Linked DNA regions of Nothobranchius furzeri. Each later gene encodes a partner of the first gene's protein in a complex. Links are inferred from orthologs where the notes say so. Each region holds a gene or a part of one and is shown in the gene's direction. Other genes may lie near its edges.

Region 1 (10,010 bases):
AAGCACAACTTCCGTTTTTCACAATAAATCGATAAACAAAAGGCGTTTTTTGTTTCACATGCACCGGTTTAACAACTTTTAACAACTATCAATGGCGGCTGAACTTTAAATGCACAAAAGTAAGCCATAAATACAGTTTCTACTATCAAAGTAGTCACACTTTGTTGGTCCAAACACTGCTGATCTCTCAACACAAATGATGGGCAGATTAAACAGTTCATACCGACGCTTCTCCCACACAACGGGTGTTTGGATCCAACTTCCGCGTTTATTGCTCGGACTGTATCGCAAGATCTCGAAAATCCTGCGCATGCTTGTTTGCCCCCCTCAGGTCTCCGCACCGGAGCGGAGCCGTTGTAGAGCGGGTACCAAGAAAAATTGAGTTCGGAAGCGAGCGGCTGTGGAAGGCGGGGGCGGTGCGGAGGTTGTGGATTTTGGGGGTGAGTCCTCCAGGGAGCCGGCTCCCCCACTGGCCCCAATAGGCACCTCTGTTTCCAAAATGCCACTCAGGGCATGGAGACCCCAGCCCATCCTGCCAGGGCCCAAAGCAGCAGCATCACAGAGCCTCACGGAGTCCGAGGGCACCAACCCAGCCCCACCCCAGCAGAATATCTACTCCCATCCCTGGGGTACCTTTATCTCTAACCATTTTCTAAATACAACCTTTTGAAATAGTAATTTCAAAACTGAAAATTTTCTTGGAAAAACTCTGGCGGCCAAGGGGTTAACACCTGTCTGTAGAAGAAGAAGAAGAAAAGAAGAAAATATCATTTCTATAGCGCCTCTCAAGCTAAAAATCACGAAGCGCTTCAAAAGAAGCAAAATAAGTCATTGTGTCCTTGGGCAAGACACTTCACCCTGCTTGCCTGCTAGTATTTTCCCAAAACAGACAAAACCAGATTCCAAACAGAACATGCATGACAACGTCTGGGTTAAAGGAATGGCTCACGGAAAGAATATATATATATAGTTTCATAAAAATTACATTTCATTAGTGACAACGTTAATATTTCATCATATATTGTGCCTATAGTTGTTTTGGAAGATCAAAAACCGTATGCTGCAAGTCCTTTAAAGGAGGCGAGGGGCAAGTTTCACATCTGAGCATTTAAAACAATTTGCATTAACATAAGGCATGTCTCCACTTTGGCAGGCCAGCCAAAACGACCACTTTCCAAGCTGTATTCTGGGACCAACAGACTACCTGAACTCTACTCGGAATGGCCCAGAGTTGCTGAGCAGGTCTGATCTTTTAAATAGCTCCTCTAAAGAAAGAAAAATCACGTGTCACTTCACAATAACAAAATATTTTTTAAATAAAAGGGGAAATTGAAAAAGAAATTACCGTATTTGCGAGACTATAAGTCGCACTTTTTTTCATAGTCTGGCTGGTCCTGTGACTTATACTCTGGAGCGACTTATATACCAAATTATGTATCTACTGCGCTGCTGTGGGCCCGCTCCGGACCAGGAATGAGCTCTCCCCGCCCGCTGGGAGGGTTTGAAACACCGCCATTCTCTGCTGGAGACCGTGGCGCGCTGCTGCGTACCGCTGATGCAGCACTGGTTGTTTATTCTGTTATTGTTGCCCGTACTTGTCTTGTAATGTGAAACGCTTGGTCTCAGATTTTGTAAGAAAAATAATAAAATTTCTCTCCAAAATGCGACTTATAGTCCAGTTCGTCTTCTATGTTTTTTTCTTCTTCATTATACGTTTTATGGCTGGTGCGACTTATACTCCGGAGTGACTTATAGTCCGGAAAATACGGTACTGAAAAATTAGGACAAAAAATATGAAAAAGGTAGTACAGGATTGGTAGAGATAGCAGCACAAAGAACGGTAGTGAGGAAGGTCACACCACAGCCAGCTGCTTTTTAACCCTCCCACTGTCTTCGTGGGTGACCCCACGAGGAAAGTTGACCATTGAGCAGGGTTGATGGTTTATCCCTTGAGGTCCACGTGGCAGGGGTGAGGTGGTGCTCACTCCTCACCCCTGCCACGTGGACCCAAGGGATAAACCATCAATCCTGCTCAATGGTCAACTTTCCTCGTGGGGCCACACCTATTAGGTCAGTGGGAGGGTTAAAGGAGACCACGGGGTCCACTGATCTCAGGCTCAGGGGGAGAGAGGTCCAGAGTTTGGGGGCCACAGCAGCAGAGAAACCTCTAATAAAAGCATCAAACATACCTGTGGATCAGCATCCGTAAAATAGTTACCAGAAAGCAGATTATACTTAGCCTGGCCTGCCAGACTCGTCCTCTGTTTAACTCAGAGAAAGAGTCTGGTAACTCACAGGCAGAGGCACATGAGGGGCGGGACTGGCCAGCTCAAAAATAACCAATCAGAAGAAAGGCGCAAATGCCGAATGTACCGTGCAACGCTGTAGTTTTTTAGCTGTAATCAAAAATTGCACCTGCTGACGGTGAAAACATCTTTCTATAGAAGAAAGGCTTTGGTTTTAAAGACATTTTCAAGTCATTTAGAACAGAGGAAAGAGCCGCATCGAACCCCGCTTCAGCCGCCATGTTTGTTTGTTATGAGCAACTGAGCGTCGCGGTGTGCTCGGCGCTGATCGGCTTGGCTAGAATTCTCAGAGGGTGGGGTTATTTGAATTGGAGCGTTACCAGACTCTCTCTGTGTAGAATTAAACAGAGGAGGAGTCTGGTAGGCCAGGCTATGTTATACTGCAGCTCCAGTAAACTGCTAACCCTGAACTTAGTAACCACGGATTGTCTTCCAGAGTGAAAAATACTGCAATGAAATCTATTTTATTTTATGCAAAAGTCCACCTTTTCAGTTTTTACTTTCCGAGTTCCACATTTCCATCATAAGCCTGGTCTGCTCTGTCTTCTCCATCCCCAGTGAGTCGTGGAGGATGACTGCTTATACTGAGCCAGGATCCTCTGGAGGTTTCTTCCTGTTAAAAGGGAGTTTTCCTCTCCACTGTCGCTGCATGCTTGCTTAGTATGAGGATTGCTGTATAGTCACTGACACTAGTCAGTGACTCGATGCGATTTGCTGGGTTCCTTTTATTGGAAACGTGTTACTGATTGGCTTAATGACCTGACCTGTATTGGAATGTTTACTGTGTGCAGGTCCTTGAGACGACTCTGGTCCTGACGTGGGGCTATGTAAATGAACTGAATTTAGTTAATTAACCTTAAAGTTTGATATTCCCACGTGAAAGACTAAACAAATCAGTAGCCAGAATAAAAATTTTTACTTTAACTTTCACAAAAATAACAAAGTGCTGAGGTGTTGGTATTTCTTTATGCTCGGAGTTCAATAAAGTTCTAAGAAACCTTATGACCAATAACCAATGACAGCTAACCTGGCAGCAGCCAGATCTCTATGTGTAGCCCCGCCCTGTGTCCAGTCTACACTTTCGATATGGAATCTCTGCAGCAGAAACCGGCATATGCAACTTTTGTTCATTTCAAGTAGGGTTCACTTTTGCCAGGTGGAGTTCCCCTCTTGGTCTAATGACACAAAAGCAAGCTAGCAGTAGCCGGTCACATCTGTAATAATTAAGATGAATTCCCATATTTAGCCGTCATGCTTCATACAGTTTCAGGTGTCTTTTTTCCTGTTTGTGTGGCGAGATGGGCTGAGCCCACCCACCTGTGTGACCAGGTAACAAGTACGGGGGCCTGCAGCAGCCAAAAAATCCCTCAAAACTACCATGAATCTTTCGCTACGAACAAATACGAGTGAACACTCGGATTCCAGCAATGCTTGCTCTCACAACTCCATACGGCTTCATCAACGTACGTGCAACAGATGTGCTGACGTCATCTAATTGGAATGTCATGATTTGTTTTTGTGGTCAAGGAAAAATGATCAATGGGACACGAAATACGCGTGAAACACAACAAGCATGCCTGACTTTTGTGCTTCTTATGGATGCTCTAATAGACGATGTCTTCAGTCACGGCAACGTGTCATTCATACGATTTAACAATAACAAACATTCAACTGTGTTAGGCTGATAAGTCTCTGTCATCTGCTTTGCTTTTGAACTATTATTCATTCAGATAGTGTAAAAAAAACGCTCAGTGGGGTCAGCTCTGAGGAAGATCGCAGACACAATCAAAAGTGTCAGCAGGTAAAAAACCTTCCCCGTGTTTCAAAAAGAACCTAAAAAAGCGGTCAGAAGAAAAACACAAAAGATGTTTGTAGTCTTTAGAAAAACTGCTGGCTCATCAAATCCCCCTGATTAATAAATACAAGGAATTAATGCCACACTTACTAATCATGATTACTTTAGGTAGACAAACTGTAGTTCTTGTCTGATTTCTCACCTGACACCGTGTTGTTCTATAGGCTTATGTAAAGTATGAAGACAAGCACACTGTCCAGTTACATTAGTAATTGTAATTTCAGGATTTGTTGTGCGGCGAGCCATGACCAAGCTGTCCTGTGATGTCTGCCGTGCCAGCCTGGTGATGATGCTGCATCTGCCTGTGATGACCAGAGCTACATTTGCTGTCTCTGCAGAACAACGGGGTCTTGTGGTCCCATCTGAAGGTGCTGTGAGGGTCATCAGAGCAGCAGAGTGGGCAATTCGCCAGGCATCAGTGGGCAGACGATCACAGCCCATCAAACCACTGGAGGTCATCTACATCGTGCACAAGAGGATCGGGTCAGAGGATGTGTTTTTGCTCGGGGAGCTCATCAGTGAGACACCGTACGGAACTGAGTGTCACTCCCGTACACTGTTGACATCTGTTGTCTCCCTGTTCTTTAAGCTGAGGATGCACCACCTTGCAAGATTAGCCACTCGTAGCTTTCAGTGTGACAGCATGAGCCAGAAGCTCTCAAAAGCTGTCCTTTTCACAGGTCCGTAGGAAATCACAATGTGCTTTAGCATCTGTCTTAGATCTGTTATTTTTATAATCACAAACATGTATCATCTGTAATAAACAGGTTTTTCATAACTGTCAGTCCGTCATTCAGTCCACCAAGTTGCTGCATAAATAAACTTGAATTTAATTTAATTTAAACGTTTCATATAAAATCGGTCAATCAAATATTTACTGAAAAACAACTCACAAAGTTTATATTTAAAAACGTCACTGTGGTCGGGATGTTTACTTGGTTACGTACGAACGTGATGACGTAGACACATCGTATCCCAGCATGCAGCAGGAGGCCGTTGAGGCATCCAGCAGTTGGTAGTGAGAGGAGGTCCGAGGCAGCAGCGACTCCGCTCCGCTCACATATTTCCGACTCCATGTGAGATCAACTCAGACCTACATGCGACAGAAAGCATGCTGCTCGGGCGCCCGACGTGTTCCCGAAGCGGCTTCTGAGTCACCCGGCTTTCGTTTTGGAGGATTCCTCCCTCCATCTCCTGGATCGCACCGAACAGGCAATGACAACGGTCTCAGCAACCCCGCAGCAGATGAAGGACCGGCTGCTGCAGGCCATTGACAGTCAGAGCAATGTGAGCAATGCTAAAGCTAACGCTAGCTTGTTTGCCTATCAACATCCACGCAGCTGTTCGGGTGGCACGTCGCTGTTTATACAAACTACGCTGAAAGGTGCGCTCGGCCTCGACACGTCGGATGTCTCGGTGACAAAAAGGCTCGGGGCGAGTTGACAGCTAGCATGCCAGCTAATTTAGCAGCAGCGCTGCGTTGATTGGACGGATATCTGCCGTTATGTAGCCTGTTAGCTGCTAACGTAGCTTAACACCAAAGCAGATTTGGTATAAAGGAGCAATCCAGTCGTTGTTTTACGAAATCATCTCATCTAAAGAAAAGTTTAAGTTATCCCAAACAGCACAGTTTTAGTGAAAATGTTTTATTTAAACAATCACAAAGTTTAGGGAACCAAGTGGCTGGAATAGCGTTGAGGAAATGCTCCTTCCTTCTAAAGTAAGTTAAATGCTAACTACCCTGACTAGCTAACACAGGCAGGTCCACCGACTCGGGCTAGGGCTGACGCTGTCGACAAGATGCTCGGTTTGCTCCAAGTTCATAAACCTTTGCTGAGATGATTCCAGGTATTTTTGAGTGTCTCTGTGCCACATCAGCTTTGCAACATCGTTCGGTTTCTGGAGCTAAACATCCAGCTGAGTTTCTCCCGATGAACATGTTGTTTTCCACCCCGGAGTCAGGGAGCAGTTAGTCCAGATCTCTGGAGTTCCTGTTACTGTGGGAATGTGATTGGGTGGGATTGTCCAGTGTGATTACATTTTCATCCACAGACTACAGCTGTAAATCTAAATATTACTGCCACCAGTAGAAGCTGGGGGTTACTAACTGCTGGCATGTCCTTGTTGCAGATATGCAACATGGTGGTTGTATTGGAAGTGATCGCTTGTCTTGAGAAGTATCCGATTACCAAAGAAGCACTTGAGGTAAGAATGAACGTGTCATAGGCGGTTAATGCCTACAGAGGCTGTGGTGCCAAAATAGTTTTCACTTTTTAATTATTTATTTTCAGGAAACTCGACTTGGAAAACTGATTAATGATGTAAGGAGGAAAACCAAGGATGAAGACCTTGCAAGGCGTGCAAAGAAACTCCTGAGAAACTGGCAAAAACTGATTGAACCTGGGCCGGCTGTTTCAGCAAGTGTCCCGGGGTCTACCAATGGCAGTTCCCATCCCTGCAAAACCGATCCCTCTCCCCCTGACATTTCTGTATCGGGGAAAGCGGTCACAGAAGTCACAATCCGAAGTGATGCTCACAACACATACTCGCCTAAGGCTGAGAAGTCAAGTAACCGCAAGCGGCGGGCAGAGCACAGAGACAGTGGCGTGTACGTAACAGAAAAAATCTCCAGGTTGTCGGCGTTTGATGACTCTGTTTCTCCGCCACCCACCAACGGGACTGCTGGTGGTGCCGATGCGTTGGCCGACCAGGAGGTCGTTCCTTCTCCTGACAGGCCTCGGACAGACCACCTTGAAAATGACAAAGGAAACAGAATTCCAGTTAATGCTGTCAAGCCCCGTCCCAGCTCCCCTGGCATGGCCAAAGCACCTAGCACTTCCTCGTTGATTAAAGTTGCTGTGATGCAACAGCAAGCTAAACTGGAAGAAGGGGGCGGGGGCTATTACCCAGCGAGGAGTCCCCGCAGTCTCACTTCCAGTCCCAGGAGCCTAAAGCAAGACCCCGTTTCTAAGCGTTCAGCGTACGTAGCAAAGGGAACGCCGGTCCCCAGCCCATCTTCTAGAGACTCCCCCCTGTTCTTCTCCCAGCCTCTGTCCTCCCCAGCACCGGTGTCTCACAGTGAAAAACTTTCTTCTCTTCGGTCTTCAGTGCCCTCTGCTAATTCATCAGAGGTATTCTCTCATTGCTCTCCCCAAGATCTATCTGCAACACTGGATTCCCCCTCCCCCCCGCCTCCCCCGCAGAACTCAGAGGTCCACAGGTTGGTGGTTGAAAGAAGCTTAAGTGTGTCTGATGACCCTGATGGGCCAGTCCTTAACTCTGAGCATAAAAGGAGGAAGTACAGGCCTAGAGACTACTCCGTTAACTTGGATGGCCTGAAACTAGAGGACACGACTAAACCTGTGCGGTTAAAAGAACGCAGACTGACATTTGACCCGGTCACTGGTCAGATCAAACCTCTGGTGCATAAAGAACTTTCTCCAACAGAGGACCCCCCCACTCCGGACCTGGGAGAGTCCAGGCAGAGAACTGAAGTCGTTGTCCAACAGCCCCCTTGTGCAGCCCCCGCCCCAGGTCCCAGCTCAAACCCCTTCCACCAGACCAACTGGAAGGAGCTGACTAGAAATGAAATAATCCAATCCTACTTGAACCTTCAGAGCAACGTGCTCACCTCCTCGGGGGTCCAGGCCCCTAGCGCACACTTCTTCATGTCAGAATATCTAAAAAGGGAAGAAAGGGAGACTAAAGACTCAAATAAAACACACGTTTTGCAGACGGACCATTTAACAGGAGATTTACCAGGTGTGAGTCGGGAGGTGACGGATGAGGACCTGGACAGAATACACACACAGACCTGGCAGGGGGTGAACGGTTGTTACGACACCAAGGGAGCCTGGTATGATTGGACAGCGTGTATATCACTGGACCCTCATGGAGACGAAAGCAGACTGAACATCCTGCCATATGTGTGCCTGGACTGAGGGCTTTAGAACGGCTGCTGGTTCTTTTTCACCTTTTGTCTCGATGGAGACGAGATCCTTTGTGATTTTGTTTGTCTGCTGCGAGTTTGGTACGAGCCCAGGCCGCTCGACTCCCGTCGCCACAGCTCCGCCTGTGAGAGTGTTGAGACTTTGGTATGAAACCTAAAGAGTTAAGTTTTAACATCAAGGGCTGTTTGAGTTTCAGTTTAAACCAAATGAACCACTGGTAGTGATGAAGACGTTAAGAGGACTTGGGCTGGACTAAGCTAGGCTTGCTGGTCTTGTCCAGCCCAGTGTGTCCAGGAGCGCTGGAGCACATGAGCTGCAACAAGAGGCCTCATCTGGACTGAAGGGTGCATTTCTTATCTAAACATCTATTTAGTTCATTTATGGGATGTTTTTCTTCTCCCATCTAATCCTCGGTGACTGATGCAGGCATAGCCGCACCTCTGGGTTGGTTTGATGGTTCTGGCCCGTGGACACACACATCTCGTGTCCATCAGAAACCGTCAGGTGGGCGGGATTAAAGCAGGATCCTCAGAAGCTGTTTAACAGACTTTCATTTGGAGTTTAACGGCCTTTATGTGAATGTAGACGTGTCTCAGTCATGCGCCCAAAGTCGCCCCGTTTCCTGTTTAAACCGCCGACATAAAAAGTCAGAGGTGGAGAACATTTCGGCCCTTCCTTGTGTGATGAGTGACCTTCTAAATTTTATTTCTATTTAAAAGAAGCCATCATAAATCATTATCTGACCAGTTAAATGAAGGTTGGCCTCTGCAGCTGCGGTCCTCGTTCTCATCCCTACCATTGTGCCTTGGTAAACGTTAGGTCTGGAAGTGTTTCCACAACACAAGCCTGTGTAGACGTCGGTGAGAACATCCACACCTGTGATGGTCGCGACTCTGGTATACGCACCGTTTTCTGCTGATCGGAGGAGAAGCGGCTCTGCAGACAAACTGCACAACACAGCTGGCAATAAAGGACATGCTACAACTGATGAATAGTTTTTCTTGAGTTTCAACTGGGTCTTTATTTGTTCAGTGTTTAACATCTAAATTGTTTGAAAATAAAATGATTTAAATCTTTTTTCTGCCAGCTGACTTGTGGGTCCTTCATGTTGCTTCTGTCACCACCGAGGTGAACATATGTGTGTTCCTCCTTCAGGCCCAGGATGTTTTTCTTGTTGTGCTTCTCTAGTCTGTCCATCAGGGGGCGCACACCGCCCTGTGTCTGAACAGCTGATCCAACAAGGCACTAAAACGTAAACATGTCTAACTAAGCTGACAGGTTTGTGTGTGGAGTTTTAGAACGGAGTACTGGCCTTCGTGTGATTCAACCCTTATCTGAATCTTTCTGTGGAGCTGCGGCCAGGTCTCAGCGGGGCAAGAGCTAGGCGGAGAACGGTATCTGGGTCCAGCCTTACTGAACGGGACCAGAACCACGCTGGGTGCAACAGGATGAGTGGACTGAATCAGTGCTGCTGATGCACATGGATGATGTCATCATCTAACACACACTCACGCCAGTTTTTATTACCTTGTCTAGGATTAGAAGCCCTGAGGGGATGTTGGACATTCCAGAGAGAAGCTCTATAGGTACTCCTAAGGTCAGGACCCACCAGCTGGTTTAAACAAGCACATGAGTTTGTGATGACCTTTGACCTGAGAATTCCACTTCCTGTGGATGTATTTTATGTTCATTCAGGGGTTTTACTTATTTCAGGCTTCAGCCTGATAAACCAAGACCGCCGACATTACGTCACCTGAGTAACTTCTGCAAACCTTTTTCCTGCCAGTGACTCAGGAGTTGGGGTCATTTGTCTGGTCTGGCGAGTCTGGAATGCAGGGAGGATCCCACTACTCTGGACCACGCCCACTACTCTGGAATTTGGGAAGTTTCCTTCCATAA
Region 2 (10,275 bases), on another chromosome or scaffold:
CACTTTGGAGTCCTTACTCTGAGAGGCGCTATACAAGTGCGGGTCATTTATCATTCATAGTGTTGATCAGGCAGAGCTTTGTTGCCAGCGTTCCACTGCGTAACGGCTTCAAACACATATATAAAAGTGTTAGTTTTTACGTAAACCATTGGAGGAAATTACACAAACTGACTGAGCTCTAGTTGAGGCGCTTGCAATAGTTTGTGTATGTGTGTGTGCGTGTGTGTGTGTGCGTGCGTGTGTTTGGGGGAGGGTACATTGGAACTTTGTCCCCCCCCAGTTTGAAAATCCTATCTGCGCCCCTGGACAGAGAGCATATATCCGCAAAGTTCAGGAATGCGTCTTTAACTCCCAAATCCAGACATAAGAACATTTACATTAAATGTTTTATATGACATCATCAAAGCCTTGTTCAAATTTGAGTATTTGGGATCAACTCAGTAAATGGAACACAAACAGGGAGATCACCTTGTTGCCTGGTACATGGCTGCCGCAGTCCAGGTTTCAGGCTCAGTCAGATAAAGAACCTGTTCCCAGTTTGAAAGAGCCGGGATGATTTTGAAAGCCTTTGGCAGTTTTCCACTGCGATACTTTGACAAAACCTAAAAGATAGGAAGAGAAATGATGAAATTACAGTTGACTTGAAAAACACTTGCTAAATCTGAAAATCATCGTTTGAACAATATTCCGAAGTTTGGAGATGGGAATGATAAAATGAAGCCCACATTCATTAAAAACAAACAATCTAAAAGGAGGACAAAAAGGAAAACACAACTGACATGAGGAAACTGAACTCTGATTCCTTGATTTCTGTATTTTTTTTTTAAATAAGTTTGGCATATTTTTATATTTTCTTGCTACAATAACAAAAACTTCCCAGAAACCAATTCAGATCTTTAACATATTTCTTAAAGATCATATATCATGCTAAATCTACTTTTTTGGAACTTGTTAAATAGTTATTTCCTCATTAAAAAACCACCCCAAAGTGATTTTTGGCTTCGTGCACGCATTTTACTGTCTCAGCTGCAAATCCTAGCCGGTGTGTCCATCTGCTGCAGAAGCCTGGATGGAGTTGTTGCTGTGTCATCATGTCCCACTCCTCCCCATCCAGGCAGTACTCAGTCTGGATCCCTCCTCCCCTGGACTGTAAACACTAATGCACAGTCTCTCTTTGTAGCGAGATAAGTTTAATCCCCACAGAAGTAAATAAGTGATTTTTTAAAAATCTAGTCTGCACTTTTGATAATGCCTGGAACCCAAAATTTTATTTCAGTCTACAAGAGATACAGGACCCCATCCAGTCTTTCAGAAGAAGTTTCTTCTGGTAGGATTTTATCTTCAGAAGCTCTCAAAAACCGAGCCAGAATGTGGCTGTGATTTCATAGACTGCTTGTTAAACCACTACCAGAGTGGGTTTTCAGACAGATGACTACTTGAAACTGGCGTCGATCCAGTGTTAAAACCAAGAAATGAAGAGCCAGAGTGGTGAGTACAACCAAAATGCTAACCAAATGCCAAATGGTTATAAAGTGTGGTGGGTGAGTGTCAGGGACAGACTGGGACCATAATTCAGATAATTCAGGCCGAGAATCTCAGCATCTACCATCTCGGCAATCTTTTTTCTGTGTGTGTTTGCAGCTTGACTTGAGAAGAGATGTTGCCATGGATTTGCAGTCTCCAAGTCTGCAGCTGTATATTACTGTGAATTTCATACAGGGGGGGGAGGGGGGGTCGGGCTGGGTTTAATTGAATCCAAGCATCTTATTTCTGGGTTGAAGGAATGTCTCACAAAAATAATTTCAATAAACAAATTACATCTCTGAAGTGCCAACAGTACACTACAATACAATACAATCAACAGTATCTTGCATCTACTGTTGCTCTGGAAGGTGTAAAATGACATGATACAGGACCTTTAAAATACAGTTGCTTAAAAACTAAAGTAAAGGGGAAAACAGGGTATCCGCGGGTCCTTAAAAAGTCTTAAATTGGCTTTTCCAAATTTAAGGCCTTAAAAATCCTTAAAAATTACAAATAATCCTTAAATACAGTTTCCAAAGGTCTTAAATGACCAAAGACCCAATAAACAAGATTATTTTATTACTATAACATTTTCGTGAATTTCTAGTTAGTGTTCAGCTTTTTTGTGTGTATGATGTTGGCGTAAGCAGAACCGTACACATTCAGTTGGTTGTGAAAGGTGGCTATTTTTAGATTAGCACATTAGCTGGTTAAGCTAGTGGGAGCTTGAGCCATGGGGAAGGGCAAGTTTAATGGCTACTGGATGGATAATCCCACGTTCGCGACGTGGTTGGCACCGGTTCCAGGCAATAGCCGGAAATTATAGCTTAGATTTGGTCAAAGTGGCCTTAAAAAGGTCTTAAAAAGTCTTAAATTTGGCACCCTTAAACCTGCAGATACCCTGGGAAAAGAACAAAGTAGGTGAGATCATTTTTAACAGGAGAACACATTTCAACATAACACAAACAACTGTATAACTTACCTTACCGACACCCCGGTAGACCTCGGTCACCCTAGGGTCCAGCTGGGGCATTGGAACCCCTGATACCTCAGACATCACTGTTCCCACCTCGGTTTGCTTCTCTGTGATCTTCTCCATGATAATATCAGCTAAGGTCCGCCTGTGATGGTCACAAAGAGGAAAACAGCTGAGTATACGAACATAAACTTAACCTCAAAGTGGACTTTAGCAAATTCCAACAGCTAGAATTCAAACAAAGTTGTGAGAAATCTTGCCTCATTGGAGGGTTTTTATTCATGAACATCTCAATGGCCTTCTCATCATCAGAATCAACGATGACTTCAGTATCACCCTCCACATCACCATCCCCAGCACCTGCTTCTCCCAGAACTGGCCAATCTTCATCTGAGTCAGCATCCTGGGACTCAGGGCCTAAAATAAACAGGTCAGACAACATTAGAAAATATTATTCATGCATTCAGCAAAGACTTATTTCACCTAAATAGTTCTGAGAAGATCACGCTGGGAACTATTTTTCTCTGTGATCGTCTGACATTTTGTCCACATAAAAAACATTCGTCATTAGTTTTATTTTTGCAGAGAAATAAAGGGATGTTGCATAAGTAACACCGTATAACTAATTACAAAAACACTTTCGTGGTTTCTACGCTTGATAAACCAGACTTAATTAAAAAAAATACTGCCAATTTAAGGTCCGAAACCCTCCATCATACCGAGAACAGTGACTGGTGCTTTCCTCTGCTCAGGTGCCAGGCCATACTCGGTCTGCAACTCCTCTTGTTGAATCCGGGCCTGTTGTAAGATTTTCCTTGACAGACGTTCATCCACGTAGGTGTCCTCACTTTCGACCCGGGCGTCTCGATTCTTCACCCGGCCTCGGGCTCGGATCGTGTCCGCCTGGAGGATCTGGTCGGCCAGTGGCACCGCTCCTCCTCCGCCACTCTTCTCTCCTCCACCGCCACCTTTAGCTCTTTTCACTTTCGGCATCTTTCAAGAGTGACTCAAGCTGCGACGACGCTGTCCGTGTTTTGTTTTACCATTAGAGACACAAACAACGCGGAGAAAGAATTCTGTAAACAGTCTGTATTCTACACGTGCAGATTACCGTACGGCGGAAGTGACGATATACGTAACGTCTGTGCACTGAAAAACATATATATAACATACCATTTTATATGATGTTGATTTTATATGTTTGTATGTAACATACATTTATGCAATATGATTATAAAGTTTCTTGAGTTTGTTTTTTAATTTTCTGAAACAAGGTCGTTTACGTGCACCGGAAGTGTAAATGTTAATCCGGAAGTAATTGCTTCACGAGTGTTTTTTGCAGGCGAGAAATCAATGGGTGTTACTTGGTAAGCAGATTTACTTATGTTGTAGTTAAATGCTAACTGTAATAATATTTTTGTAATATATTTTATCACGCTGTGCATATGATTTCGTTTGGCATGTGTAGCTAACTCGGTGAATGTAGCCTTTATTTGCTTCCAAACCGTTTTACACTGAATAGAATAGTGTTTATTGTCGTTGTACGGTGTACAGCGAAATTAGAGTGCCACTCTCTTTAGTGCAAAATGGAAAACTATACAAAAAATAATACAGAAATAATATAAATGTAAAATGAACAGTAATATATATATTAGTTGGGTTCAGTAAGCAGAATTTTAGCATATTGAGTAAACAGAAATAGGACATTCAAATGTTATTGCACATGATCAATTTTGAACAGGTTGCTTCACGGTGTTGTGTTGTTCTTGTGCTGTGCAGTGTTTGCCAGGTGCCCGTGGCGGAGGGGAAGAGTGTCCAACAGACAGTGGACATTCTGCATAAGAAGCTGGAGCAGCTTGGAGCTGTGAAGCAGGGCAACTTCTGTGTAGACTGTGAAACATATCAATCAACAGTAAACGCTGGCGGTAATTTTCAGCTATTAACCATATAAATATTATCATTCCTGTTGTTTAGGTGCTTTAGATGGATAGTCTTCTGCATTGCTATTAATACAACTTGCTGCAGGGGAATTTGTCATATTTCTTTGATTAAATTCTGCTTTTTGAAAATGTTCTAATAATTATGTCAAATATTTGACTTAAACTCAATTGTCCAGGATATGTGTGCCTTGTGACAAATATATTGTCAAGCTATGTAATTTTCATTTTTACTGATCTTATTTCTCTGTAAGGTTAACAAAAACAGTCATCCATTGGGTAAAAATAGCCAGATTAAAATACAGTTGGTGTGTTTTAGAAAGGTTTTCTGTAAATCTTCATTACTATGTTATGCAAGGTTAAATGAGCCACGTTTCCACTGTATCTTTCCCCAGAAGTCAGGAACATTTAAAAAGCCCCATCCACTGCAAGAATCCGCTTAAATTTGTTTAAATGGGACAGCAGTAGCTCAGGAGGTAGAGCGGGTTGTCCAGAAGGTTGCAGGTTCGATCCCGGCTCAGACCAAAGAATTCTGCTGTTGTGTCCTTGGGCAAGACACTTAACCTGCCTTGCCTGCTGGTGGTTGTCAGAGGGGCCGATGGCACCAGTGCTCAGCAGCCTCGCCTTTGTCAGTGCGCCTCAGGGCATCTGTAGTGACATCATAGCTCATTCCCACCAGCGTGTGAATGTGTGTGTGTGAGTGACTGTGTTGTGAAGTGCTTTGGGGGGATGTAGAACCCTGTGAAGGTGCTATACAAACACAGGCCATTTACATTAAGCTCCTTGAAAAATAGTTTTTATTTTTATGTTTTATAAACATCCGCAACCCGGGGTCTATAAACGTTTGATTTGGCATTTATCTTTCTAAGTTACTACTAGTCTTTTTTTTCCAGGTTTCCACCAATGAGTCCATTAGCAGAGCAGTAAATCATGATCTAATTTAGCTCAAGTGTCCTCCAGAAAAAAAGGTGTCTGCTCTCGCATCCCTCATAAGCAACATTTATATAAACAGGACATGGTATGATTCTACTACTTACTTGTGTAATTTTAAACTTAATAAGCATGCTGCTCTAATCTGTGTCCAAAAATAAAAAAATCATGCAAAGTCATTATGCAAAAATTGCATTGTTACATTTTGCTGTTCTTCATGCAATTTCTCACTTTAAGTCTGGGTTTGTTACAGGTCAGCCCTCCAAGCTCCTTTATGTAATGCACAACTCTGAATTTCCCCTGAGCTGCTTGGCTCTGTTTGAAGGAGGACCCTGTTTGGTAGCGGACACAAACTTTGACGTCCTCATGGTGAAGCTGAAGACCCATTTCCAGAATGCCAAGGGACACAAGGTGGAGTGTCGCGGTTCGAGATATCGCTACTGTGACTTCTTGATTAAAGTTGGCACGGTCACAATGAGTTCCAGTGTTCGAGGGATATCAGTGGAGGTGACAGTTTGGTATTATCAGTTAGACCAGAGGCCCATTGTTCTCTTTTTTGACAGGATTAACCCTTGATGTGTTTTCCTCAGGTGGAGTACTGTCCCTGTGTGGTTCCAGGGGACTGCTGGAACCTCATGAAGGAGTTCATGCTGTCTTTTCTTGGCAACAATGTTCCTGAGCTTCCCACTGTATTTGCTGCCAAGCCTGAGGGTCTTTTTGCACCAGCAGACTCTGTCGACACCATGACTCAGTACCTGGAGTTGTTCAACAAGCTACGGAAGTTACAAATCACAGGAAGCAATGTGCACTAATAACATTTTTTAATGATTGTATTGATGTGTGTTAAATGTGGTCCTATGGAAACCGTATGATTTGTATAGTTCTATTTTTGTAACTTCAGTTTTGTATTTGTTTACCCTGATACAGTTAAAAGGAATACAGCTACAATCTATAGATGCAAATGCTCAACACAGACAAAAATAAAGACAAAAATCTACCTATTTCTGCAAGAAGTAAAAATTCCTTACACTCGGTGGGGAAATGTTGGTGTCACAGCAGCAATCATTCACATCAGGAGCAAAGAAGAACAAAATCCTGTAACATATGCAAGAAATTCTTAAAACATTCAATCGAATAAAAAAAATCTGTGCAGATAGACGAAGTTTATAATGAGGAGTGATGGCATGAAAGGAGAAATGTGTAAATAGGGACCTGGGATTACTCTCCGTGCACCAATGGATGCAGCATTCTGCCGCTGTAGGAGTTCCCCAGCTTCATGCATGGGGTGGAAGACATTGTGTAAAAGTGATGCTAATTTAGCCAGTCCTGTATCCCACCTCCTGCACTAGATCAAGGAGAAATCCTAGGGCAGATGTAGTGTCAATAAGCTTATCTAGTCTCTGTCTTTCAGCAGTAGCTATGCTGCTGACCTAACAAACCACACCATCAAAGATGGCTGATGCCACCATTTAGTCAAGGTCTGTAGGAGCACCCCCTGCACTCCAATGGACCTCAGTGGCATCAGCGGGTAGTGTGCTCTGGCCCTTACTGAAGAATATCTGTGTTATGGCCTCAGTTTGCTGTTCAGGTGAACACCCAGGTCATTATAAGAGTCCACTACCTCAATGTCTGTTCCCTGGATGTTCACCGGTCCCTAACCCAAAGACCTGAAGGTTTGATTAGAACACAAAACAAGAACTCCCACATGCACTTCAACAAATCACTTAATTCACATTCAAGAGTGAGATGCTTCTTATCAATAACATTATTTAGGAATGTAAAGAAAAGTCATCTAATGAGACTTAATTCAAAATAAAGACCAAAGTTAAAAATGTACATGAAATACATGTGGGGAGAAGATGTAAAAACTAAGTTGAAATGTTTCCATATTTGAAGTTAGAACAGTTTAACCCTTCACATGTCTGACGCATTAAATTAAAATACACACACGTTATAAAATGAACAGTTTACTGGACTATATAACTAAATGACTTAGTGATTACATTATTTATGTAATTAAATATAACTGTATAATTATTATTACCTGTCGCCTGTAATACACAGGTCTTCCACTAGAGGAAAACAGACGTGTTCACTGCAGGTTTCTGATGATAGTATCTCTTTGAGTAGTTCTGATGATAGTATCTCTTTGAGTAGTTATGTTCTTGCTGTGCAGAAAAGTAACCGCTTGCTGCTCTAGTGTCTCGGGCTCTTTGTCTGACGCCTCTCCTGCTGCGTCGTGATCTTCTACTGCTTTTGCGTAGCTTCTGTGTCGGGTTTCCACCATTATCACCAAATCCTCTCGTCTAGTATATTGTTCAAGTTCATCAACTCTTTGCTCTTAGGCCGAAATCTTCTTATCTTCAGTTAGCAGTATTTTAAGCTCCTTCACCTCCTCCATCAGTCTCATTAATCGATCCTGCTGTGATGTTACTTTTGACCTCCTCCAGGTCTTCTGTGGCCATTTCTTTACCTCGTCCACCCGCTCTTCCTCCTGGCATCTCTTCCACTCATCTGCAACCGTCGTCCTCTGGTCCCGTGCTCATCGCGACACGATGAATGTTGTTGGGCCTGCTTGGCTCAGCAGCACCCCTCGGCGCTGCTGGGGGCCGGGCCGATGGAACCGCGCCGGGCTCAGGGTAGTACAAATCTTATTAAAGAGATAAATCTCTCATAAACGTAGTTATTTTAAAATTAAATATTTAGTTTTTCATTGTTCTATATTTTACAAATATTAAAGATGTGTAACAATTTTTCACTTATAATACTCCTATGCATTTATTGTCTATGTGGCAAAATATCTAGTTTTCTTTTTAAACAATTACTAGTATTTACAATAATTTAATACTTTGCAATATTTAAGAAATTGTTTTGGCAAATACTGAAATGCTTTTCTCACAATAACTAAATGTCTTTTTTTTTACTTTTTTTTTTTTTTTACAAATATACAGACGACCTTTACCATATACAACATGACCTAGCTACTATAGATAATTGTTTTGTTTTGTTAGATGCAAATGCAAATGTAGCATATCATGAGTTCTATAAACAGCCCAACATATAAATTCCATTCATTAGGCTTTTCATAAACATTAGAATGTTTGTATCATTTGTTTATTTATGTGTCACACTTGTTACAAAACTTTGTTTTACCGCCTCTTCAGCCCCTTGAAGCCAGCACTCCTCCCCCCTGTTCCCCGGTATGCAGCACGGCCCCAGCCTCGGTTATTGTTCCATGTGGCCTCGGTGGGTGGGTGGGTGGGCGGACGGACGGACGGTCCATCCTGCCGCCTGTTGTTCCGCAGTTGGACCAATGAGAGCCCGGCTTCCGATCAGCCCCGGTCCAATGAGAGCAGTGGGGTCTGAGCTCGGATAGAGTTGGGTTGTTCAATCTGTGCGGAGGACAACAAGCCGCAGCTCTCAGAGTACCGGATGGATGGATAGGTGGATCAGTGTCGGCGATGTTAACAACACCGATCTCTTTCTGACGTCGGACTTTCTAACAAGCCTCGTTTCAGCCGCGTAACCGGCTCGGTGAGGTGAATGTCACCGGGGTAGTTTTTAAAAGGTTAACGGCGCAGTTTGCTCGCGAGCTAAGCCATTAGTTAGCGAACAACAACAACCATTAGATTAACTTCGATTGTCTTCGGCAGGAGCGTTAGCAGCGCGGCTAATGCAAGTTATATTTAAGCTAACAGTGTGTACTTCGAGCAAATAACATAATCTGTGATTAACCAAGCGTGTTTATTCGCGCCGCTTCGCTCGTGGCTAACCCACGGAGCCGAGCCGCTGTAGCTAGCGGTTAGCCGGGCTGCCTCCAACCAACAAAGTTATTGGAGGTTCCTGGAGAGAGTGGCTCCGTGTTCTTTGTTCTGGCTGAACATGGTGATGGTGGAGTAGCTTAGCATGGCGTTAAGGAGTCAGCCTGTCCGAGCCACGCTGCAGCAGTTAACACAAACACAGCAGAAAGTGGTTTAAATGAAAAATGTTAGCAGCTCGATGCGATTATAGAAGACCGTTAACATGCATGGCGGCGGCAGCTCAACATAACAGGGGTTTAAACTAACAAGGAACCAGTTGCTGCGACCCGAGGCAGCGATGGTGCCTGCAGCATCTGATTTGTCCATAAACTCTAGTTTCCAAATAAACAAATCCGCCAAGCTTTGTAACGATGTTGCTTTAGTGAATCACATTTTAAATTAAGTTTCATAAAGTTCAGAATATTAACGCTGAAAGACAGAAAAATAAGCAAATTTCTGATTCAAACTTGTTGTCAGGGTTAGAATTATTTTCTTTAGTGTTTCAGCAAAGCTCACGATCAGTCCAGCAATTGATCTAAAGCTACACCAGTTTTGTTTTAAATAACATCTTATTTATTTTCCTTTGTATATATGCATATTTTATTATTATTATTTTAACTTTGAGACAGACCTAGATCTAGGGATGAAAAATGTAGTTTCCTGGTGATTAATGAATCCTTTTTTGCACTGGTGTTAACCCTATTTGTTGTCTCACCTTGTAACTAATTAATTGACTTAGACGTTCATCGCTGACACGTTTTATGCAACTGTAATCCTTGTTTTTCAGACCCGTCCTGATGGTGCTGGTGGTGACCGTGGGCAGAGCTGAAGTTGCTGCTGAGCTCCGAAGATGATGTGATCTTTTGTCCCAAACCTGATCAAGCTAAATAGTTTTATTGTTAGTTTTTATTCAGTTATTCTCTACAGCATAACGTGTTTAATCTTCATTGTGGTTTTGTGAACAGTCATTTATTATTTCTTTCAGAATGAGTTGCTGTTTGGCTGAAGGACGTGCGTCCTTTCACTGAGGCCACATGTGTGTCTGGAGAGATGGACCGCTGTAAACACGTGGGACGCCTTCGTCTAGGCGAGGACCATTCTATTCTCA
Region 3 (10,225 bases), on another chromosome or scaffold:
TCGTCAAATTACAATTGTCATCGCTGCAAGATTAGCTTGCAGGAGACACGGCATCCCCACACTCACTGTTGGTAAACAGTAGTTACGTCCCTCCTTCTTTTGTTTTGAAAGGAGAAAAACTGACAATCCCCACAGCCAGCTGGATGTGAAATAGGGCTGGGCAATAAATAAAAAATGTATCGTTATCGAAATGTCTGACTCGTATTGAAACAATTTGTCCTATATCAATAAATTTGATAATAAAAAAATTTAAAGTTGTGTGTAGGTTGGCAACGTTCATGTACCTTTAAGAAGCTGTACTACCTTGAGTCACAAGTGACCCAACTCAACGTAATACATGTGACAGCCCCACCTAGTGGACAACTTTTGTTTCTGCACATACCTGTAGTTATCGTCCATGTATCGTTATCAAGGTGAAATCCTCAACATATCGTGATATTGATTAAAGGCCATATCCCCCAGCCCTAGTATGAAATGTTTCAGTGTAACCTTCCTTCCAAAATGACTGAAACATTAGACTCTTTCGGAATTTTCTCACTGTAAAGTTCTCACTATATTCTTACATACTGCATCTTTAAAGGCATAGTCAATTATTTGCCCCTTTTCTGGTTATAAAGTAGAAATGTGTGTGTCAAGATCTAACAGGGTGGTTGAGCACAATCCAAGTGTATTTTTTATTTCACCGTCAATGAGAAAGTTTCCAATTTTTAAGTGCTAATGATTTCCCCTTTGTCCTTTTTGGGTTGTTGTTTTTGTTTCCTGTAGATTTTGGAGTTCGACTCTCCTGCAGCTTTGCTGGCAGATGAAAACTCAAGATTCAGAGCCATGATCCAAGCATCGGAGAGCCAAAGCTGAAATGATAAATAAAACACTGGAGTTGAGAGCTGCCCAAAAAAAAAAAAGCAGTAAAAACACATTCAAAACTACACAGTTTCACCAGTCCTGTCATGATGTGCTGGAAAAAGAAAGAATCCAGCGATGGGAGATCTGTGTAACAGTGTCTGTTTTCTTTCTTACCACGTCAAAGATCCAGAGACTAAATTCATGTCCTAAAACACGTCCAGTCTCACTATGCAAAATGAGATTCGACGAAACTGTGGTGTCCACTGCCGTTTCACACAAGTTATTTCCTAACGGCCAACTGCAAATCAAACTGAGTTCAGACTCAAACAGCACTTTATGTTTTGTGCGGTGCTTCCTTTTTCCTTGGAAGGTCAGTAATCAGTGAAACTTTAGATTAGTTTTGGTCTTTTTTTGTCACTAAGACCTCAAAGTGCAGGAACTTACTTAAGATAGTATTTTGTTTGCTGTGTCATAATATTCAGTTGAAGTATGTGAGGATTTTTGTTAATTATTCATTACAGAGTCTCTAAGATAAACACTTGTTTTACATTCCTATGAGGCACTGTCTAAAAGATTTTGAAAATATTTTCGGTTTTTTTGCTGCAGTCTAAAAGAATAATATTTGTGCGTATTATTTCAAGTGAGATATGTGCCTAGAGAGCTATTTTTTTAAATAATGGAGTCAGCCATGTTAGACTGTGTGCAAGCAAAGTACTGTGCTTCAAAACTGAGCTAAATGTCCCAAATGCTGGAGTTTAAAATGTGCACATTTTACACTTTTTTTTGCTAATATTCTACAAGCAAAGTTGTTTCGATGTTGAATACAATCTATTCATGTGTTGCATTTGAAAAGTACTGTATGCAATTTGCAACCAGGGCAGGATGATGATCAACATCTGGATGTCTTTAAATGTTTCTCCAAATCTGAAGATCATAGACTTTTTGCCTTATAGTCAAGTATTTGCTGAACAATCGTTAAAAAGTGCAATATGTTATTATTGCTTTGATACTTTTATAACATTGCCTTTTTACACTTGGGATTGTAATGTTGCAATACTTTTGTTGAGTGTTCAATAATAATATAAGTTTTTGAATAAAATATTTTTATATAAATGAAAATGTCTGGTTTTCTAAATGTAAAAGAGAGATGTGGACATGTGAACTATGTGGAGAAACTTGTTTGTTGTTATTTCAGATTTAAAACAAATTTGATAATTTAGTGTTTTTGGTGCATACCGTTTGGTATTTAATGGTGCTTTTGTTTTAGCACCTCTTTTTTTTTTTTACCTTGATAATTGAAACTAATGGCTAAGTTGGGCCAGTGTTGCAACTGCTATCAGAATGAACTGAAATGTGAATAAGACATCCGATTTTAAGAAAACGCATTGCAGAAAATGCAAAAGAAAAATTCAAATTTAAGATTTAAACTTTAAAAAGGTAAAAATAATTTTAAAGAAACTAGAGTAATTTATCCTGAGACTCCATAGCCTTCGTCTAAAAGGTCCAGTGACTAAAGCCTACTGGTTGTGCAGCGCAGCAGGCTAAAGACCAAAGGTAAAAAAATGGTAAATGGCCTGTATTTGATATAGCGCCTTCTAGAGTCCTGGAACCCCCCAAGGCGCTTTACAACACAATCAGTCATTCACCCATTCACACACACATTCACACACTGGTGGGGATGAGCTACGATGTAGCCACAGTTGGCTTGGGGCGCACTGACAGAGGCGAGGCTGCCGAGCACTGGCTCCACCGGTCCCTCCGACCACCACCAGCAGGCAATGTGGGTTGTGTCTTGCCCAAAGACACAACGACAGCGACAGACTGAGCGGGACTCGAACCTGCAACCTTCCGATTACAGGGCGAGCACTTAACTCCTGTGCCACCGTCGCCGTAGGTGACAGATCATTTGCTGCTGTGGCCCCAGACTCTGGACCTCTCTCCCCCTGAGCCTGAGATCAGTGGCTCATTGGTCTCCTTTAAAAAGCAGCTGAAAACACCTGTTCAAGGTGGCTTTGGTGTGACCTTCATTACCACCCTCTCCTTATTCTGCTCTTTTTACCAATTCTGCCTACCAGGATCCACTGATTTCCCTCATTCCTATTCATTTTCTTTCTCCCTATTTCCTTACATTTATTCAATCAACACCTTTTAAAAAAAAACATGTTCTTTTTTGCAAAATTTTAAATCCCTTTTTAAATTTTTTCTATTTACATTTTTTGTTCTTGGATAGCACCTTGTGATTTTATCTTGAGAGCCGCTATAAAAAAGATTGTTTTCTTTATTTATTTCTTTTCTAAAAGCAGTGATGTATAGAGAGCAGAGATGCAGCTCCGAGCACAAGTTAACCCTCTGATTTAGTTAAAACATTTTTTTTAATTTTGTCTCGAACTACGGCCAATAAAAAACTCTGTGTACATATAATGAGTGTGATGTTTGTGTTCCTTTTGTAAAACATGTGAAAATTAAATCCTGCAGATATATATCTCTAATTTCTCCTGAAAGCTTATTACTTAAATTTTCTTGGAAGTCTTCCTTCTAAATTACTTTTTCCAAGGCTAATATATGAGCCTTCCTTAGGACCTTTTGTAATTTTTAAAAAGAAGTTATTGGGAATTTTGGCAATGTTGCTCCTTCAAATGTCCCTCCAAATGTTGAAATTGATAACCTTCGGAATGTTTGTTGAAGGTTTTTTAAGGAAAGGCAGCTTTGTTTATGTAGAACATTTTATTCATTAAAACATATTGCTTATTTATATTAAATTATAGATTTTACCAAATTAAATGTAATTTTTACACTTATTTTGAAATTTACGGACGACGCAAACCGAAAGTGTGGCTTTTTGCAATAACTGCTGGGACTTGTAGTTCCAACGAGCTGCTGCTGCTTAGTGGGGAGAAAAGCGTCGGCTCGGCTGTGATGCCGCTGGATGATGGCTGCCTTCGGTATCCTAAGTTACGAACACCGGCCTCTGAAGAGGCCACGGCTTGGCCCTCCAGACGTTTATCCCCAGGATCCAAAGCAAAAAGAGGTGAGGTTTCACCGTTTTGAGTGTGAAATCGAGAAAGTGCGATTTATTAGCGAAAATGTCCAGCAAAAGACGCTGCTAGCAAGAGTTAGCATGTTAGCAGAGCTGCAGACGTTTCGGGCCTCGCAGTAACAATGAGCTGCTCCTAGTTGTCAGATTGTTGGGCAGCTTAGTTGAAAAACAACCGGCTCGTTTGATAGCAGCGTTAGCTAAACTGGTGGGTGGTTTTCACGTTCACCCAGACTGTCACCACTCCTTTGTTTTGTGATAAAAAATAATGATGATCGTATTTCAAAAATCTGATGTTATTATTGATTTGGCTGCTTTACAAAAATTTGTTTTGATATTGAGTGTGGCCTAGCTAATTAGTGCTGCTTTCCATTTTGTGTCATTCTGGCTCCATATTTTTGTTGAAAACTAAGAAGTTTTTTTATTTTGTTTAAATCCGAGCCTATTGTTTTCTCAGATAATTTTGTAACTTATATTTATTTTTTGCTGTCAGTAAAATTAAGACCGTTCGAGCTTGATAAATGTGTGATTCGCTTGTCTGTGATCTGAGATTAAGAGGCTGAAATGAATTTATTTGCATAAAAACATTACATTTTCAGTATTTTACACTTTGATGTGTTTCAGGATGAGCTGACTGCTCTGAACGTAAAGCAAGGTTTTAATAACCAGCCAGCTGTGTCTGGTGATGAACATGGAAGTGCCAGAAATGTCAACTTCAACCCCTCAAAGGTAATGGCTAACATGTTAACAGTGATGCTGGACTGTGTCCCAATCACAGCCACTTGACACTAATGGTTCCTGTCCATCCTCCCTGGGTCCTGCTGCTTTACAGATCAGTTCCAACTTCAGCAGCATCATTGCAGAGAAACTGCGCTACAACACATTTCCAGACACAGGGAAACGTAAACCACAGGTCAACCAGAAGGACAATTTCTGGTTGGTCACAGCACGATCACAGAGCTCCATCAATAACTGGTTCACAGATTTAGCTGGGACTAAACCTCTCACACAGCTGGCTAAAAAGGTGAGCTGCTTTTACTAAATCACCTGTTTGGTTCGTTGACGTAACAAAAACTCCACCTATTTATAGGATGCTGTGGCGGAAACACTCTTTGTTTATTGATGTAGTTCTGGTTGCATCACTTGGTTGTGCTGTGTAATTTTCATGTCAACATTTGGTAAAAAGATGAGAATTTCTGTCAGTTTCAACAAAACGGTTTAGAAATTCATCACATATAAAAACTGGAGCATCAGCACAGATTGAACTATTTTTAGCAATGTGTGATTAAATGTAATAATTTTTGTTGCTTAATTATATTTGATCCTAAGTGTTAATGCATTTTCCCACAAAAAAGTGTAATCAGATTACTCCATTATTACCTTGACTTGTTGCTGTTGGTGCCATATGTCAGTTTCACTTAATAACTACATCCTTTATTGTTTTTATTTAACTACATGGTAGCTTGAGTTTTACACAAATACTGAAAGTAGGGCCCTGATATGAAGATGTTATCTTCGTTCTGTGCTGCCAGTTGTATTTGTGAGGACTCTAATCGATTTTCAGACTTGTTGACTCCTTTCCCAGCGGTTTATTCATTGATTGCTTCCTGTCATTAAAACAGAAGAAATATGGAACCTGTCTTCATCTTTAAAGGACTCAAAGCTTCTCCTTTATAGCAAATCATTGCTACATTCTTCTCATACATAATTAGTTGGGAAATCAGTACTTTTTCAGTTCCTGCATCTAATCGGTGCTTTTGTAATATTTTCTAAACTTTGTTTATATGAAATGATTTTCAGGTTTTGTTTTGTTTCCATGGAGATCTTACACAGAAAAGCAGTCCAGGTTTTTGGTGAACATGGTTATTGAGATGGATCCTGCTCTTTCGATCGGTTTGAGCGTTTTTTTTACCTGAACGTTCTGCAAACGCAGCAGCTACGGAGATGATCTGAATTTGCTGACGAGCACAGGGAGGCTGTGTTGGCTCTGTAAAAGAAGAAAAATTGGTCTCTGGTAGGGTTGTCACGGTAACCGGTGTGGCGGTAAACCCCGGTAAAAAAAGTTGACAATAATAATAACCGTCTTGTTTTTTAAAAATCTATTATCTCGGTGGATTACCGAAGCTGCAATGTAGGAGCGGTGACCCTTACCAGCCACCGTATCATCTGCTGAAGTTGCCGGCGGCACATGCGCACTTTGTTGTTTACAACCAAAACTTTCTTGAAGCTAAAGCTGAAATAATGGCCAAAGGAGGAGACGGCAGCGCTCAGGACATTTATTATCCCTCAAAGAAGACAAAGTGGGAAGTACGGGCATTTTTTGGATATTTGAAGAATGCCAAGGGACAGTTGATAGAAGACGGCTATCCTGTTTGCAGCACGTGCAGGAGAAAGTCTGTGAAAGGCAGCAATGCTTCAAATCTCATGACACATCCGCGTGACCATCACCCACAACTCTACAGTCAACGCAAGGCAAGCAAGCGTTAGCGTTTTAGCTAAAATGCGTGATCCGAGGATTTGGGTTGAGGGAGAATGCAACGAGTCGCTATATAAAGCAGCCGCAGCGCCCGCTACCTGCATATAAACCGTGTCGAGGACACCCCCATGTTGAAATGATGCTATGCATTACGGAGCTCCCAGGGGCAGATAAGAGTTAGTCTCTCTCTGAGAATAATTATGAATTTAACAATGATTACTGCCTGATGACATTTTCCCACATCTGCAAAGCTCACTGGAAGGACACAAACCGAGGACAATATTTTCCTGATATAGGGTTTTTTACTCAAGTAAGGGTAAAAAAGTATCTGATTAGAAGGCTACTTGAGTACTGAGTATCATCTGATCTAATATTTTTAAAATGATGACATCAAACAGACAAAAAATAAGAAGTTATGGGCAAATATTGGTGTTTTAAAGACTAAAGGGGAAAAATGTAAACAAATAAACAACATAATTACAAAATAACACATTTTAGGCAAAATTTAGACACAAACTGAGGACGATAATCTCCTGATATTTAGTTGTCTGAAAATGTAACGCGTTTAAAAAAATACTGCGATAATACCGAAAACCGTGATAATTTTGGTCACAATAACTGTGAGGTTAAATTTTCACACCGTGATAACTCTAGTCTCAGGTTGTTAAAAACAAATCTCCTAATTTAGCAAACCCTGTCTGGATTATTCAGGTCTAATGTTACGGCGCGAAAGCAGCTTAAATCAGTAATTCTGTGTTTAAATCCCTTTTTAAAAGCCACTATATTTGTGCATCTGAATAAACCAAATCTGTTTGTTGTCTTAGGGATTTTTTAACCCAAAACACAAATGCTCTCATTGTCGGCTGCTTTTGTAATTTTTATTTTACAATTTCTCACAAATAATATCGATTTTTGAAATCTTCATGTGTTTTCCTTGTTTTTAGTAAACCCATTGTGCTCTTACTTATTGTGCCGAGAGGTTTTTAGTTTCTTAGCCAAATTAAAGCAACGTCTGTTCATAGGGTTGCAAGCCCCTCACTGTGTTACACATACATATAATATGTATGTTTTATTGATGGTGATGTCAGCTTTGTGCGAATTTAATTTACGTTTCTGTTACAGGTTCCAATCTTCAGCAAAAAAGAGGAGGTGTTTGGATACTTGGCCAAATACTCTATTCCTGTCATGCGGTCTGCGTGGATGATCAAGATGACCTGTGCTTATCACGCAGCCATCACCGAGACTAAAGTCAAAAAGAGACACGTGATCGATCCTTGTATAGGTGAGAGGTGGATCGTTTTCATCTAAATGGTGTATTTGTAGTTTCATTTGATTTAGAAATGAGATTTTTTTTTGTCTGTTCCAACTTTTGTTTCTTGTTCGTTTGCAGAATGGACCCAGATCATTACCAAGTATCTGTGGGAGCAGCTGCAGAAGGTGGCAGACTTCTACCGACAGTTCCCCAGTCAGGGCTGCAGCTCGCCACTGCCGACCATGCCTGCTGATGTGGAGACGGCCATGAAGCAGTGGGAGTACAACGAGAAGCTCGCCATGTTCATGTTTCAGGTCCGTTTCTCCCACCGTCGGACATCTAAGCTGTTCCAGGATCAGATTTAGAGGAGTTTATCTGCAGCACCAGTTCTTTCCTGTTCTGCAGTCATTACATTTATTTGTATTTTCCTTTATTTTATTTATTTTCCTTGGTGAAAATTCAAACCCATGGCTTGTTACGAGACATTTCTGACTTTTTTGCGTCTGCACCTCCCAAACAAAATCTGCATTCAACAAATGAGATTAGTTTTGAGTTCTAATAAACGTGTACATTTTGAGTCATGCAAGAAAATAAAACTTAATTTGTACTTATTTTTTTCAAGATAAAGCCTAAAATAACCTTAGCTTTGCTAACGTTTGGCTAAACATAAGTAAGCGTGTTTCCTCACTACCTTCTTTTCATGCTTCCATCTCTACCAATTCTGCCTTTCTCTGGATCCTGTATCACCATTTTCTTATTCATTTATGGGCCATTCCCATCTGTACCGGGTCGGCCCTGCCCGGATAGCTCCAGTCGGCCCCAGCCTGGCCCGGTTGATTCCACACATCCTTGCCTAGTTATGCAAGGAATGCAGTCAGAGACATTTTCAGCTTCTAGGTAATCAGCATGATAATGAATGATGATGAATTGAGCATGCCTTAAGCCCATGTGGGCTGATTCGACCCACCAATCAGAGGCTTGCTCTAATGGAAGGTGTGAATTTGCTGTCAGCAGTGGGTGTGTTGGCCCTGGTCGGCCTGAAGCAGACCCCCTCAGAAAGAGGGCTGAAAAACAGTCTCGTTGCACCCTAAAAAAAGGCAGGCCACCAAGAGTCTTTCTCATTTTTTGAATTCAGTTTTTTTTTAAGTTTTCCCTTTTTGATATTTTTTTAATCCTTTTTTAGTCTACTATTTTGTTCTTGTGAAGCACCTTGTGATTTTTATCTTGAGAGGCGCTATATTAAATAGTTTCTTCTAAGAAAAAGCTGTCCGTACCAAAGGAACGTACAGATGAATAACTGATATATTTTAGCTGTTTTGACTAAAACACCGTGGCATTTTCAGGATGGGATGTTGGACAGACATGAGTTCCTGACGTGGGTGCTGGAGTGTTTTGAGAAAGTTCGACCCGGTGAAGACGAGCTGCTCAGACTCCTCCTGCCCCTCCTGCTGCAGGTAATCACATCTGCATTCACATCTGCGCTCCCACACAAATAGATAACACTTAGGAAACATTCTGGCTTAATCATCCTGCAGCTGCACGTTTATATCAAAACCTGCTCTGTGTGGGCTCCTTCCACAGCCCGTCATGTTTTTGTGTCTTCATCTGGCGGTGCTGACCTTTGCTAACAGCACCCACTGGGGCACACAGCCTTTCCTTTGCTGCTGCTCTGTAAGCTTACTGCTGTTAATGGACACTCGAGTGTTGTGGCTAATGCTGTGAATCTCTCTGCGCCACAGTACTCAGGAGAATTTGTACAGTCTGCTTATTTGTCACGACGACTGGCTTACTTCTGCACACGGCGCCTCAACCTGTTGCTAAGTGACGGTAGCCTGGGCCCTGGCGCAGGAGGGCACCCAGCACACGGCATCTTGACACAGCAAAGCAATGCCCTGCCCCCCACCCCGACCTCCCAGCCAGCTGGAGGGAACCAGCCTCAGACACCTTTCACAGATTTCTACATTTGCCCACAGCACAGGCCTCTGGTGTTCGGCCTCAGCTGCATGTTACAGGTACCAGACTTTATTCTAGCGCCCAAGTCTTTTAGGGGTTTATTATTATTTAAAACTTAAAGATCTTTTGCCTTTGTGTTTTGCATCCATCACATCAGAGCATAGTGTTGTGCTGTCCCAGTGCGTTGGTGTGGCATTACTCTCTAACAGACAGCAGAAACAAAACCGGTTCTCCTCTGGACCTCCTGCCCATCGCGCCCTCCAGTTTGCCAATGCCAGGGGGAAATACTGCCTTCACACAACAGGTGATCCTAAGCAATACCTAGGAGATTTTTACATTTTAAGCTATTGCTTTCTAACTGGTTTCAGTGGTTCTTGAACCAGAAACTTAAGCAGTTGCACATGACACAGCCCTCTTCAGCCGTCTTTTGACCAGACGTTGCACTAAACAACTTTGATGGCTCGGGTCAGCACTAGTAGCTCTCTACCTGCTTTATTGGGCCTGTGTCTCACGTAAAGTCTAGCAGTTAGCTTTTTCAGTTTGCAGACCGTCAATAAAAGGCACACAAAGAAGAAATGGTCAGAATTTTTTGTTGGCATCACGGCCAAACCGTCTAAAAAATAAGTAATAGATTCCTATTTTTTCCTTTGTTCTGAACTGCCAATAG

Evidence for each region. Proteins that work in one complex are often made in the same cells at the same time.
Region 2: crsp7 (region 1) and med20 share a complex: the UniProt entries of both Homo sapiens proteins name them as parts of the mediator complex. The link is inferred for Nothobranchius furzeri from reciprocal best matches to the Homo sapiens genes MED26 and MED20.
Region 3: crsp7 (region 1) and med12 share a complex: the UniProt entries of both Homo sapiens proteins name them as parts of the mediator complex. The link is inferred for Nothobranchius furzeri from reciprocal best matches to the Homo sapiens genes MED26 and MED12.

What each region holds. Positions count from the first base shown.
Region 1 is NC_091751.1:71,977,121-71,987,130, forward strand, and holds crsp7 (mediator of RNA polymerase II transcription subunit 26), read left to right. Parts: upstream 1-5,168; 5' UTR 5,169-5,376; coding exon 5,377-5,448; exon of another isoform or gene 5,449-5,545; intron 5,546-6,291; coding exon 6,292-6,366; intron 6,367-6,452; coding exon 6,453-8,102; 3' UTR 8,103-9,197; downstream 9,198-10,010. UniProt on the Homo sapiens protein: Component of the Mediator complex, a coactivator involved in the regulated transcription of nearly all RNA polymerase II-dependent genes.
Region 2 is NC_091743.1:46,648,964-46,659,238, forward strand, and holds med20 (mediator of RNA polymerase II transcription subunit 20), read left to right. Parts: upstream 1-3,761; 5' UTR 3,762-3,853; coding exon 3,854-3,867; intron 3,868-4,279; coding exon 4,280-4,425; intron 4,426-5,620; coding exon 5,621-5,874; intron 5,875-5,957; coding exon 5,958-6,179; 3' UTR 6,180-6,368; downstream 6,369-10,275. Other genes in the region: bysl (bystin), read right to left, coding at 469-602, 2,507-2,645, 2,761-2,917, 3,220-3,493; usp49 (ubiquitin carboxyl-terminal hydrolase 49), read left to right, coding at 10,218-10,275. UniProt on the Homo sapiens protein: Component of the Mediator complex, a coactivator involved in the regulated transcription of nearly all RNA polymerase II-dependent genes.
Region 3 is NC_091741.1:82,295,525-82,305,749, forward strand, and holds the start of med12 (mediator of RNA polymerase II transcription subunit 12), read left to right. Parts: upstream 1-3,711; 5' UTR 3,712-3,769; coding exon 3,770-3,871; intron 3,872-4,501; coding exon 4,502-4,606; intron 4,607-4,709; coding exon 4,710-4,901; intron 4,902-7,475; coding exon 7,476-7,635; intron 7,636-7,743; coding exon 7,744-7,919; intron 7,920-8,948; coding exon 8,949-9,059; intron 9,060-9,344; coding exon 9,345-9,617; intron 9,618-9,715; coding exon 9,716-9,862; intron 9,863-10,225. Other genes in the region: wu:fb13g09 (ATP-binding cassette sub-family C member 5), read left to right, coding at 766-855. UniProt on the Homo sapiens protein: Component of the Mediator complex, a coactivator involved in the regulated transcription of nearly all RNA polymerase II-dependent genes.